Nothobranchius furzeri: one gene and its partner. The protein of the gene in region 1 interacts with the protein of each later gene in a pairwise test. Links are inferred from orthologs where the notes say so. Each region holds a gene or a part of one and is shown on either strand. Other genes may lie near its edges.

What was found. The genes of interacting proteins can lie anywhere in the genome.
Region 2: the proteins of bcar1 (region 1) and nphp1 interact in a two-hybrid assay, tested with the Homo sapiens proteins (2 studies listed by BioGRID). The link is inferred for Nothobranchius furzeri from reciprocal best matches to the Homo sapiens genes BCAR1 and NPHP1.

What each region holds. Positions count from the first base shown.
Region 1 is NC_091754.1:40,234,254-40,238,957, forward strand, and holds the start of bcar1 (breast cancer anti-estrogen resistance protein 1), read left to right. Parts: upstream 1-1,338; 5' UTR 1,339-1,940; coding exon 1,941-1,952; intron 1,953-4,704. UniProt on the Homo sapiens protein: Docking protein which plays a central coordinating role for tyrosine kinase-based signaling related to cell adhesion. Implicated in induction of cell migration and cell branching. Involved in the BCAR3-mediated inhibition of TGFB signaling.
Region 2 is NC_091752.1:27,149,563-27,154,296, reverse strand, and holds the start of nphp1 (nephrocystin-1), read right to left. Parts: upstream 3,072-4,734; 5' UTR 2,827-3,071; coding exon 2,764-2,826; intron 2,286-2,763; coding exon 2,224-2,285; intron 2,076-2,223; coding exon 2,015-2,075; intron 1,896-2,014; coding exon 1,735-1,895; intron 1,550-1,734; coding exon 1,330-1,549; intron 31-1,329; coding exon 1-30. Other genes in the region: zgc:65997 (C-signal), read left to right, coding at 4,026-4,352, 4,587-4,734. UniProt on the Homo sapiens protein: Together with BCAR1 it may play a role in the control of epithelial cell polarity. Involved in the organization of apical junctions in kidney cells together with NPHP4 and RPGRIP1L/NPHP8. Does not seem to be strictly required for ciliogenesis.

The DNA of each region.
Region 1 (4,704 bases):
AGGCATCGTTGTTGACACCATCGTTCAAAATAATGAAATCCAGCAGAGAGATTAAAGATGGAGCCAACTTTGATGGAAGAAGAAAGTTTGTATCGAGCTTTTCTAGATAAAAACTACAAGGCACTTCACAAGAAAATAAAATAAATGAAAAAAAATTAAATATATATTGTTATATAATAAAAATGGGAGAAATGGGAAACAGTTCAGAAAAATGTGAATAAAAAAGAAAATGTCATCACAGGAACATGAAAAAGAACTGACAAACACCAGCATGAAGAGAAACTAGTGAAGATTCAGCAGAAGGTGACATTAAAACCAGCCTGGACAGGTGAGTTTTCAGCTGCTTTTTAAAGGAGACCACTGAGTCCACTGATCTCAGGGGGAGAGAGGTCCAGAGTCTGGGGGCCGCAGCAGCAAATGATCTGTCACCTTTGGTCTTTAGCCTGGTGCTGCACAACCAGTAGGCTTTGATCACTGGACCTCAGGGACCTGCTGGGGGTGTAGGGACTAAGAAGATCACCAATGTAAGATGGTGCTTGTCCATGTAAGGCCCTATAGACCAGAACCAGGATCTTGAAATGAACCCTGAAGTTGACTGGCAGCCAGTGAAGCTGGAGGAGAAGCAGGGAGATGGGGGTGTGTTTGGAGGACTTGGTCAGAAGCCGAGCACAGGCATTCTGAACCACCTGTAGACGGTTCAGGGAGGTTCTGCTCAGACACGTGAAAAGAGAGTTACAGTAGTCTAAGCGTGAGGAGATGAAGGTGTGGAGAAGTCTCAAGTTCAGAATGGGACTCAGCTTAGCAATGTTCCTGAGATGGAAGAAGAAGAGCGAAAAAGAGAACTGGCATGAGAATCCAGGGTGAGAACTGGGTCAAAGGTCATGCCAAGATTCCTGACAGAGAGTTTGGTGTGAGAAGCAAGCTGACCAAGAGAGTCTCTGACTTTGGGAACCAGCTTGTTTGGGGCACAGATGAGGATCTCAGTCTTATCTTCATTCAGCTGTAGAAAGCTCCCAGCCATCCAGGTTTTGATAGAGTCTAAGCAGGTGTGTAACAGCTGCAGCTTAGACATCTCATGGGGCTTAAAGGAGATGTACAGTTGGATGTCATCTGCGTAAAGATGGTAGGAGACTCCTTTGAAGGAGCTCAGGATGTGCTGAAAAAGAAGCAGACAGAGGATAATTGGAAGGAGGAAATCATAAAAGCAGCAGGAATGAAGGAATGCAAGAGACTGTTTACTGGTTTTGCTGGGAGCACTGGTGTTTATAAAGTCCAACATCTGCTGGGAGGATGGACCTAGGATGCAGCAGTTTGGCACTGAAGGAGCTTCCAGCTCCACACCAGCTTCATGCATGGGATGGAGGACACTGTCCAACAGTGATGTTATTTTCACTAGAGTCCTCTCTCCCACCCCCAGCTGGGTCAAGGGGACATGCTAGGACAGAACTTCTTAATCAGCTTCCCGTCTCTCAGTAGCCCCAAACCACACAAAGATGGTGGATGGGAGGGGGGCTCGGGCCCTTTAAGCGGACAGGATCCAGCCTGTGGTGGGCGGACGGTAGCAGCCAGCTGTGCTCCACCCGCTCCGCTCGGCCTCCAGCCGCAGCTGCTTCATGCTCCAGCTGTTATAGCCGCGCGTCCGTGGGGGGTGAGTCCGAGGCAGAGTGACTTGAGGGAGGACCGAGAACCGTCAAGTCTGCGGGTCATACGGACGATCGCATTACCGCTGCTGCAGATCTGCGCCTCTGAGGCGCATTTTTACGCAGCAGTCCAGCTGGACTGAGACAAATCCCGACCTCTTCCTCCCGCTGGGAGCTTTCCTTTCCTACCAGGAGTCTTTTCCATGGAATCCACGAACGGCTGACGCCAGCGCAGCTGTGCATAAAACCCGCTAGAGACGCAACTGGCAGGAAAAGGCGCAATAGGACAGCTGCAGCAAAATGTCTATCCCTGTAAGTATGTCAGACGCATGTTGGTGTTCCCAGTCGTTGCTCCGGTGTTCCATGTTAATGGTTGTAACAGCCTGGGCCCGGGCCGCCCGGTTCCATAGCACTACAGTAATTAAGATGTTATCATGTGAGCCCACACATATTACTGTAACACGGTGTGTGATATGTGCTGGTGGTGACATGTTACTCTTTGTCTTTGGCCTACATGAAGCTCCAGCGGGTTTAAAGGAGCAGCCCGCCCCTTCCGGGAGGCTGTTTGCATGAAGGCCAATGTCAGCCAGGGTCTGGTGGCTTCATTCCAGCAGACCTGGCCAGTCAGCTCAGCAGAGCAGCTGATAGCACTGTGTGTGTGTGTGCAGGTGTGCGTGCGTGTGTGTGTGTTTGTGTGTGTGTGCAGGTGTGCGTGTGTGTGGAATAAGGCATTTGCTCGAGCTTGTTGAGTTATTTTCCATCAAATTCCAAAGGATCTGTTTCACAAACACTGCCTAAGGATCTCTCTCTCCCTCTCTCTCTCTCTCTCTCTCTCTCTCTCCTCTCTAACTGAACTGATGCTTCATTTTGTTGGGGACGACAAAATCCTACTGGCACTTTAATATAAAGTTATTAGACGATCTTACCTTTTGCAACATTTTTAAGCTGTTCTGGGAGGCTTTGCGGTCCAAAAGAATGATTTTAAGACCATCAGTGAATGGTGGGAACAAGGGAAGGCACAAATTAGAGTTTTCTGTCAACATTACACGCGGGGGTCTACAAACCAAATAAGAAAGACTATGGCAGATCTAGAGAAGGACATCAGGGTGCTAGACTACTACTCAACAACAGCACACCTTAGACCAAAAAAAGACAGCAGCTTGGGCATTTCCTGCAAGAGAGGGCCAAAGGCGCCTTGATCTGGGCTCGTCTCACCACAATACAGGACATGGATGCTCTGACATCCTTCTTTTTTAACCTGGAAAAGACTTCAAACCAGAAAAAACAAATGGCTGGCCTGCGTCTGTCAGATGGACAGTTATCCACAGACCCAGTGGAGATGAGGAAGCATGCAGTAGAATTCTATACCAGCCTATTTAAGGCCGCCCCATGTGATGTGAACTGTGCCAGAGAGCTGTTGCAGGGGCTTCCTTCCTTGACCACAGTAGACCAGGGAATCTTAAATGCAGACATAACCATGGAGGAACTTACAACGGCAGTCTCCCAGATGGCTGCAGGTAAATCTGCGGGGATGAACAGCTTACCCGCTGACTTCTACAAATTCTTCTGGAGCAGTATTGGACAGGACCTGATGGATGTTTTTAGAGACTCACTTCAGACAGGAGCACTTCCTGCATCGTGTAGTTGGGGCGTTCTGTCCCTGCTGCCGAAAAAAGGGGACTTAACCCAACTAAAAACCTGGGGACCAGTTTCCTTGTTGTGTTCAGACTATAAGATTTTTTCTAAGTTCCTATCTAATAGACTTCGGGGATTCATCAGAGGTCTAATCCCAGACGATCAGTCCTTCTGTATACCAGGAAAGTCATTAATGGACAATTTATTTTTAATGAGAGATGTGTTTGATGTTTGTAAAATGTATGATGTAAACGCAGGTATCATTTCTATTGATCAGGAAAAGGCGTTTGATAGGGTTGATCATGAGATCCTGTTCTCTACGCTACAGGCCTTTGGTGTTGGGGGGTCCTTCCTGGAAGGGATTAAGATGCTGTCATGTCATGTCAGCTGTATGGTGAAGGTAGCGGGGGGCCTGAGCCAACCCACCAGTTCTAAGAGGAATCAGACAGGTTGTCCCATCTCAGGACAACTGTATATTTTAGCCATTGAACAGCTGCTGTGTCGGCTGAGGAACAGGCTGAAAGGTGTACACCTACCTTTACCTGACTCCAGTCCTCCCTTAGTTGTGTCTGCTTATGCAGATGATGTGAATGTTTTCATCCATGATCAGCAGGATGTACAAGAACTCAGATCTAGTTTACGTTTACATGAGAAAGCATCCTCAGCTAAGGTTAACTGGGACAAGAGTGAGGCATGTGTAGTGGGGGGTGGGACCTTGGTGATGTCCCGCCTCTGCCAGAAGGGTTGAGGTGGGGAACGGGAGGTATTAAAACACTAGGCATGTACTTGGGTAGGGAAAGGTTTCAGAAACAGAACTGGGAGAAGGTGCTGGAGAAGGTGGAGGCGCGGTTGTCTAAATGGAAATGGCTGCTCCCTCAGCTGTCCTACAGGGGCAGGGTTCTGATAGCAAACAACCTCGTCGCCTCGTTTCTGTGGCAGAGACTGATTGTACTGGTTCCACCACCCCGTCTGCTGGAAGGTGTTCAGAAGCTGTTGGTGAAATTCTTCTGGTCTGGTCACCACTGGATCAGAGCTTCGGCTCTTTGCCTACCCGTGTCAGAGGGAGGACAAGGACTAATAGACGTGGTGTCTAGAACTGCAGCCTTCAGGTTACAGACAGCTCAGAAGCTTTGTTATGGTGACGGACTCCGCTGGCTCCCCCTGGCTCATCTCCTGCTGCAGAAGGTTGGTGGGCTTGGGCTGAACAAACACCTGTTCCTGTTGAATCGGAAGGTGTTGGATCTGACAAGGATTAGTCCGTTCTACTCATCAGTGCTGGACACCTTTAAGCTGCTGGCGGTTTCCCGAGCACCTGACACGGGACCAGGGACATGGTTGCTACAAGAACCCTTGTTTGACAATGACTTCTTCTCTCAAGCTGGCATTTTAACTTCGTCTTCGTTGAAAGTGAAGTTCACCGATGCTGGGA
Region 2 (4,734 bases), on another chromosome or scaffold:
CTTCTTAATTATTGTCAACACCTCCCCCTTCTGAAAGAAGAAAATATAACGAACCAGGACTCAATAGAGATAAAAGAGTAGGAAACAGGTTTCATGACCCTTACACATTAGAAGGCACCTAAGGAGGCATATTATTTTAATAATAAGTCTCTCAGACTTCTTTTTTTTTGTGTTTCTTCCCTCTTTAGTTGGACATATTATGTAAAATTCACATTCTGCACCCTTTTGTGCTGCCGTGTGGGTCTCTACAACTACTATTAACACTCCAAACATAAAAAAAATCTTTCCACCTGTTTTCTGCCAGGGCATAAAATGAGCCGTTTAAAAAAGTCATTGTTTGTGATGTCACAAATAGGGAAATTATCATAGAAACACCTCTCACGTGCAAGAGAAAGCTGCTGCTGGAGGAACACCAGCTCTACTCCAACTACTTCCTGCATATCAGAGCTTCTCAGTTCATAGCAGCCAATCAGGGGAGGGGTGGGCATGGCTAACGACGACTTGTTTTCTTAAAGGGATTCTATGCAACTGTTATCATATTTATAAATTATTTTCTTGTGTCAGTATGTGCCAAAATTACCCTTTACAAGTTTGATGAAATGTTACTCAGACCAAACCACCCCCGTGGTCAGAAAACCACACTTGCAGCTTCAGAGTTAGCAGGCCGCTCCCTGCTAGCGAAGGCAGCTGTGGAGTAGTGTGGAGCTGGAGTCTGCTTCCAGCATGTTTCCTGCATGTTTAGATCATGAACACAGCTGATTTGTTTGATTTAATGATTAATCACTCTTGCAGACACTAATGAAAGCAAAGGAGATGTTTCAGCAGTTAGATTAAGGTGTTAAAAAGACAAACTCATAGCGAGGAGAAAAGTTTCATTTTCAGTATAACCAGTGAATTAATAACGAACACTAGGGGGTGATAAAAGCAAGCAAAACTACCTGGTACCCTTTTAAAGTGACAGAGCCATGAAACGGCTCATTATGTAAGGTAGTGAAATTGTCAAGAATAAAACTGCTGATATAGTTTTATGTGAGAGGGATTTAATGCAAATGACATCATTAACAATGTTTAGAATCAACCATAAAACTGCTGTAACTTGAGAAAAGCCATAGTATGTCTCTTAAGACGGTTGTGCCCATTCCTGTTGTACAATGGTGATCACTGGACTACAGTAGCGCCATCTTCTGTTTTAACTGAATAAGTAACAAGAAGGGGGAAAAAACCCAAGCTTAAACATTTATTTTTGTTATTTAGCACCTCCAGAGCCCCTTGAATGTGGCTGAATGTATGACTAAGATCTAAGTGTTAGTGACACAGGAAGTACTTCACCTGAACAGGAAGATCTCCTTCCTGCTCTCCTTTGAAATCACAGAGGACTGTATACACAGAAGGTTTCGGCTGTGGTTTCACAGTTCTGTCATTATCTTCAACTTCTGTGTCGTCGCTGTCATCATTATCATCATCGTCGTTGTTGTCATCTTCTTCTTCGCTACTATCCTTGTCATCATCTTCACCAACATCACCTTCACTGTTGTTTTTAGAAAGATGGCTGTGGGCGAAACAGAGCAACTAGAAAATGGACTGAATGCAATCGACCAAAATTCATTTCAGACGCAACAAATCTCACTCTTTTAAAAGAAACATAATGAAGGTTGTGTTACTGATAAAAAATACAATTAAAAACACAGGATTTAAACCTAAAAATGCGCAAATAATGTCAGTAGCATTCAATACTGTTTGTTTTCTTTAAGAAGTACAGACTCAATTTCACTGCTGGGGCCTGGAGGTGATATCTCCATAAAGAGTTTGTTCAGACGCTCCAAGATGTTTTTTAGTCGTTTCTCCTCTTCCTGTTTCCTCTGATCATAGCTCCCCACTGGAGCTAGCTCATCTGCCTGGAAATCAAAGCAGCAGATTGTAAGCTCAGCTTAGTTACAATCATCCATCAGAAGCATTTAATTGTTGCCCATCTCTAAGATCTTTTATTTGACCGTTTTGAGATTGGAAAACTGACCTTTCTTAAACTCAGCAGTGTCCTTAAAGTCTTCTCTGCAGACATTTGTAGCTCGAGACATCTTTTGACAAGTATTAAGAATAGTATTAAACTTAAAATGATATTTAAAACCTACTAAAGGCTAAGATGGCCGTAGCCTTCATTGATTCTGCAAAAACACAAATGAGTTTAGAAAACACCGCCATTCCTCTGTCATCATAAATGCCTACCTGCAAAGTCTCTTGTCGTTCGATCCTTCTGGACTCTGCACATCTTTCATCAATCTGTCAACCTGTTTCAGAGGGAGAAGGAGGATGAGAGGTGATAATATAACACATTAGACAACGTAAATGTCACTGTGTAAATACTGATTTATGTTGAATAACGGAAGAAAAATAAATGTAATCTATATTTTTACTATAATAAGCTTTGCCTTCGGCCTCAAAGCTCTTTAAATAGACCACCAATTGTATTTTAGAAACATCAACTTTAAATTTACGAGCCAAATGATAGTTTTATTTCAACTATTTCAGCGAGTGAATGTACACAGTGCGTTATTTATCTAAACTAGATCAAAAAGCACCAGTAAAAGGTTTATATTTTTTTAAATAGACGGGAAAAAGTCCAGGTCCAAGCCCTTGGACGACTCGTAAGTGGTTCTTTATTGTCACAGTTTGTGCAACGGTCGCAGTCTGATACTTCATTGAGTTTTGTTTTGTTTTTTTCGTATTAAAAAGCGGCACAAATGTATGCATTGCTGCTAAACAAACCTGTCTTCCGACTTCTTCAATTTCTCTCTGGACGAGTTGCAACGGTCCTCTTTTAGGTGGCATTTATACAACATTTATGGTGACGAGCTCCATGCGTTAGCTACGCGATTAGCCTAGCTCACGAAATGACGCTGTGCTAATGGTCGCTAAGCAACCAACTTCTTCTTTGAAAATCGTCAATCTATTTGGTCATTTTTTATATTTCTAGTTTAATTACCAGACAACTATTTGCTATTTGTAGTGTGCATATTTGTAGATATGTATTTATTGAGTAACCCTAACCGTAATCACGATATATTTTTAACAAAGAGTATCCGTCCGTTTTAAAGTTATTAGTTTTACCGCCCTCTATGGGCTTGGAATGGTATTTCGTATTTACAAACTAGACAAACGAATTTTTGACTTATATGTAAATAACTTAATTTCATATTATTTATTCAAGGACAGAAATGTTGAGGGTTTTGCCACATTCCACTAAAATTTATTTATTTATTTTCTTTGTCCTCATAATAGTTTTAAAGCCTGTGTTTGTTGTTTTTAGAAACTTTCAAACGACTAATCAGGAAATCATAATTTATTTTCACCGTATAAATGCATTAAATAAATAATATAACTTCCTTATGTTTTATTTTAGTTATTGATTTTAAGGTCTCACTATTTATATTTTTTAATATGAACTTAAATTTATTTTATTTTTTTTTTTTGTTTTGTTTTTGTTTTTTACCTTTCATTCTTTGGTTAAGCACTTCCAGGGTTGTGGAAAGTGTTATACAAAGAAACTTGATTGATATTTATTTAATTTATTGATGACTATACTATTTTTTGACTATTTTTTGTTCATACCGTATTTTTCACCGCTTTTTTGTCCTCATTGTTTTCTTTTATATAGTTTTTTATTTACTTTTATTTCATTTCAATCAAAAGCAAAATCAGACTGTCACGTTATGTGCTAAAGTTGTGCTGACGCATTCAACAATGACCTCATGGGGGCGCGCTTTACTTGTTGTGAAATGTGCTACATTCAGGTGACGTTGGAATCATTTTTTCCAACAGTAAGAATTAAGATTTTCTAACAAAGCGTAACACATTTTGCGTGGTTGTTACTAAATTATGTTCAATTTCTATCATATATCCGCTAAATTTGTTATTAAAAAGATCTTTCACCGATCTACTTATGGTTTTAACTCGTAAAACTCAACTTTTCGAAGCTTCAGTGTAATTGAAGGCAGCAAGCACTCCTCTTTTATAACTACTTCTCTGCTATGGCGGTCCCCGTTGCTCTCATCCAGGGTGCCAGCAGAGGGTTAGGGCTTGAATTCTGCAAACACATTTTAAAAAATAAAAGCCTTGCTGTTGTCATCGCGACATGCCGAAACCCTGACGGGTCCTCCGAGCTCCGGGGCCTTTCAGGCCAACACCCGGGCAGACTCACGGTTTTAAAGCTGGACGTGAACCACGAGCAGGAGATCCTTGAAGCAGCAGAGCAGGTTAAGCAGAACTTTGGTCGTCTGGATCTCCTCATCAACTCCTCAGCGATGCTTCACCCTTCCAAGAGAGGAGAGACCAGCCTGAGGGATGTTTCTGCACAGGTAAAACTTAAAATGTCTGTAAAGATTAGATTAAGTTCATGATGTCACTTTGAAAATGTCAAATATGTGATCAATGTCCCCGGTGAGGCTCAGAGAATCAACAGAGTATTTTTCCACAGGTTTTTAAACCATCAATTACAAACTCAAACATATTAAAACATACTTTAAACCATGCTATCTACACATTGCAGATTTCATTATACCACTAACTTCGTGACTTATTTTCGTTTTCAGGGTGTAATTTCCACTCTGACAACCAACACTGTGGGTCCCCTGGTGATGGCCAAATATTTTGCTCCCCTCCTCCAGAAAGGCAGCGGTGCTTTTGGACAGCAACCTGCAGTGAAAGCCAAGCATCACAGCGGCATCATCGCCAACATCA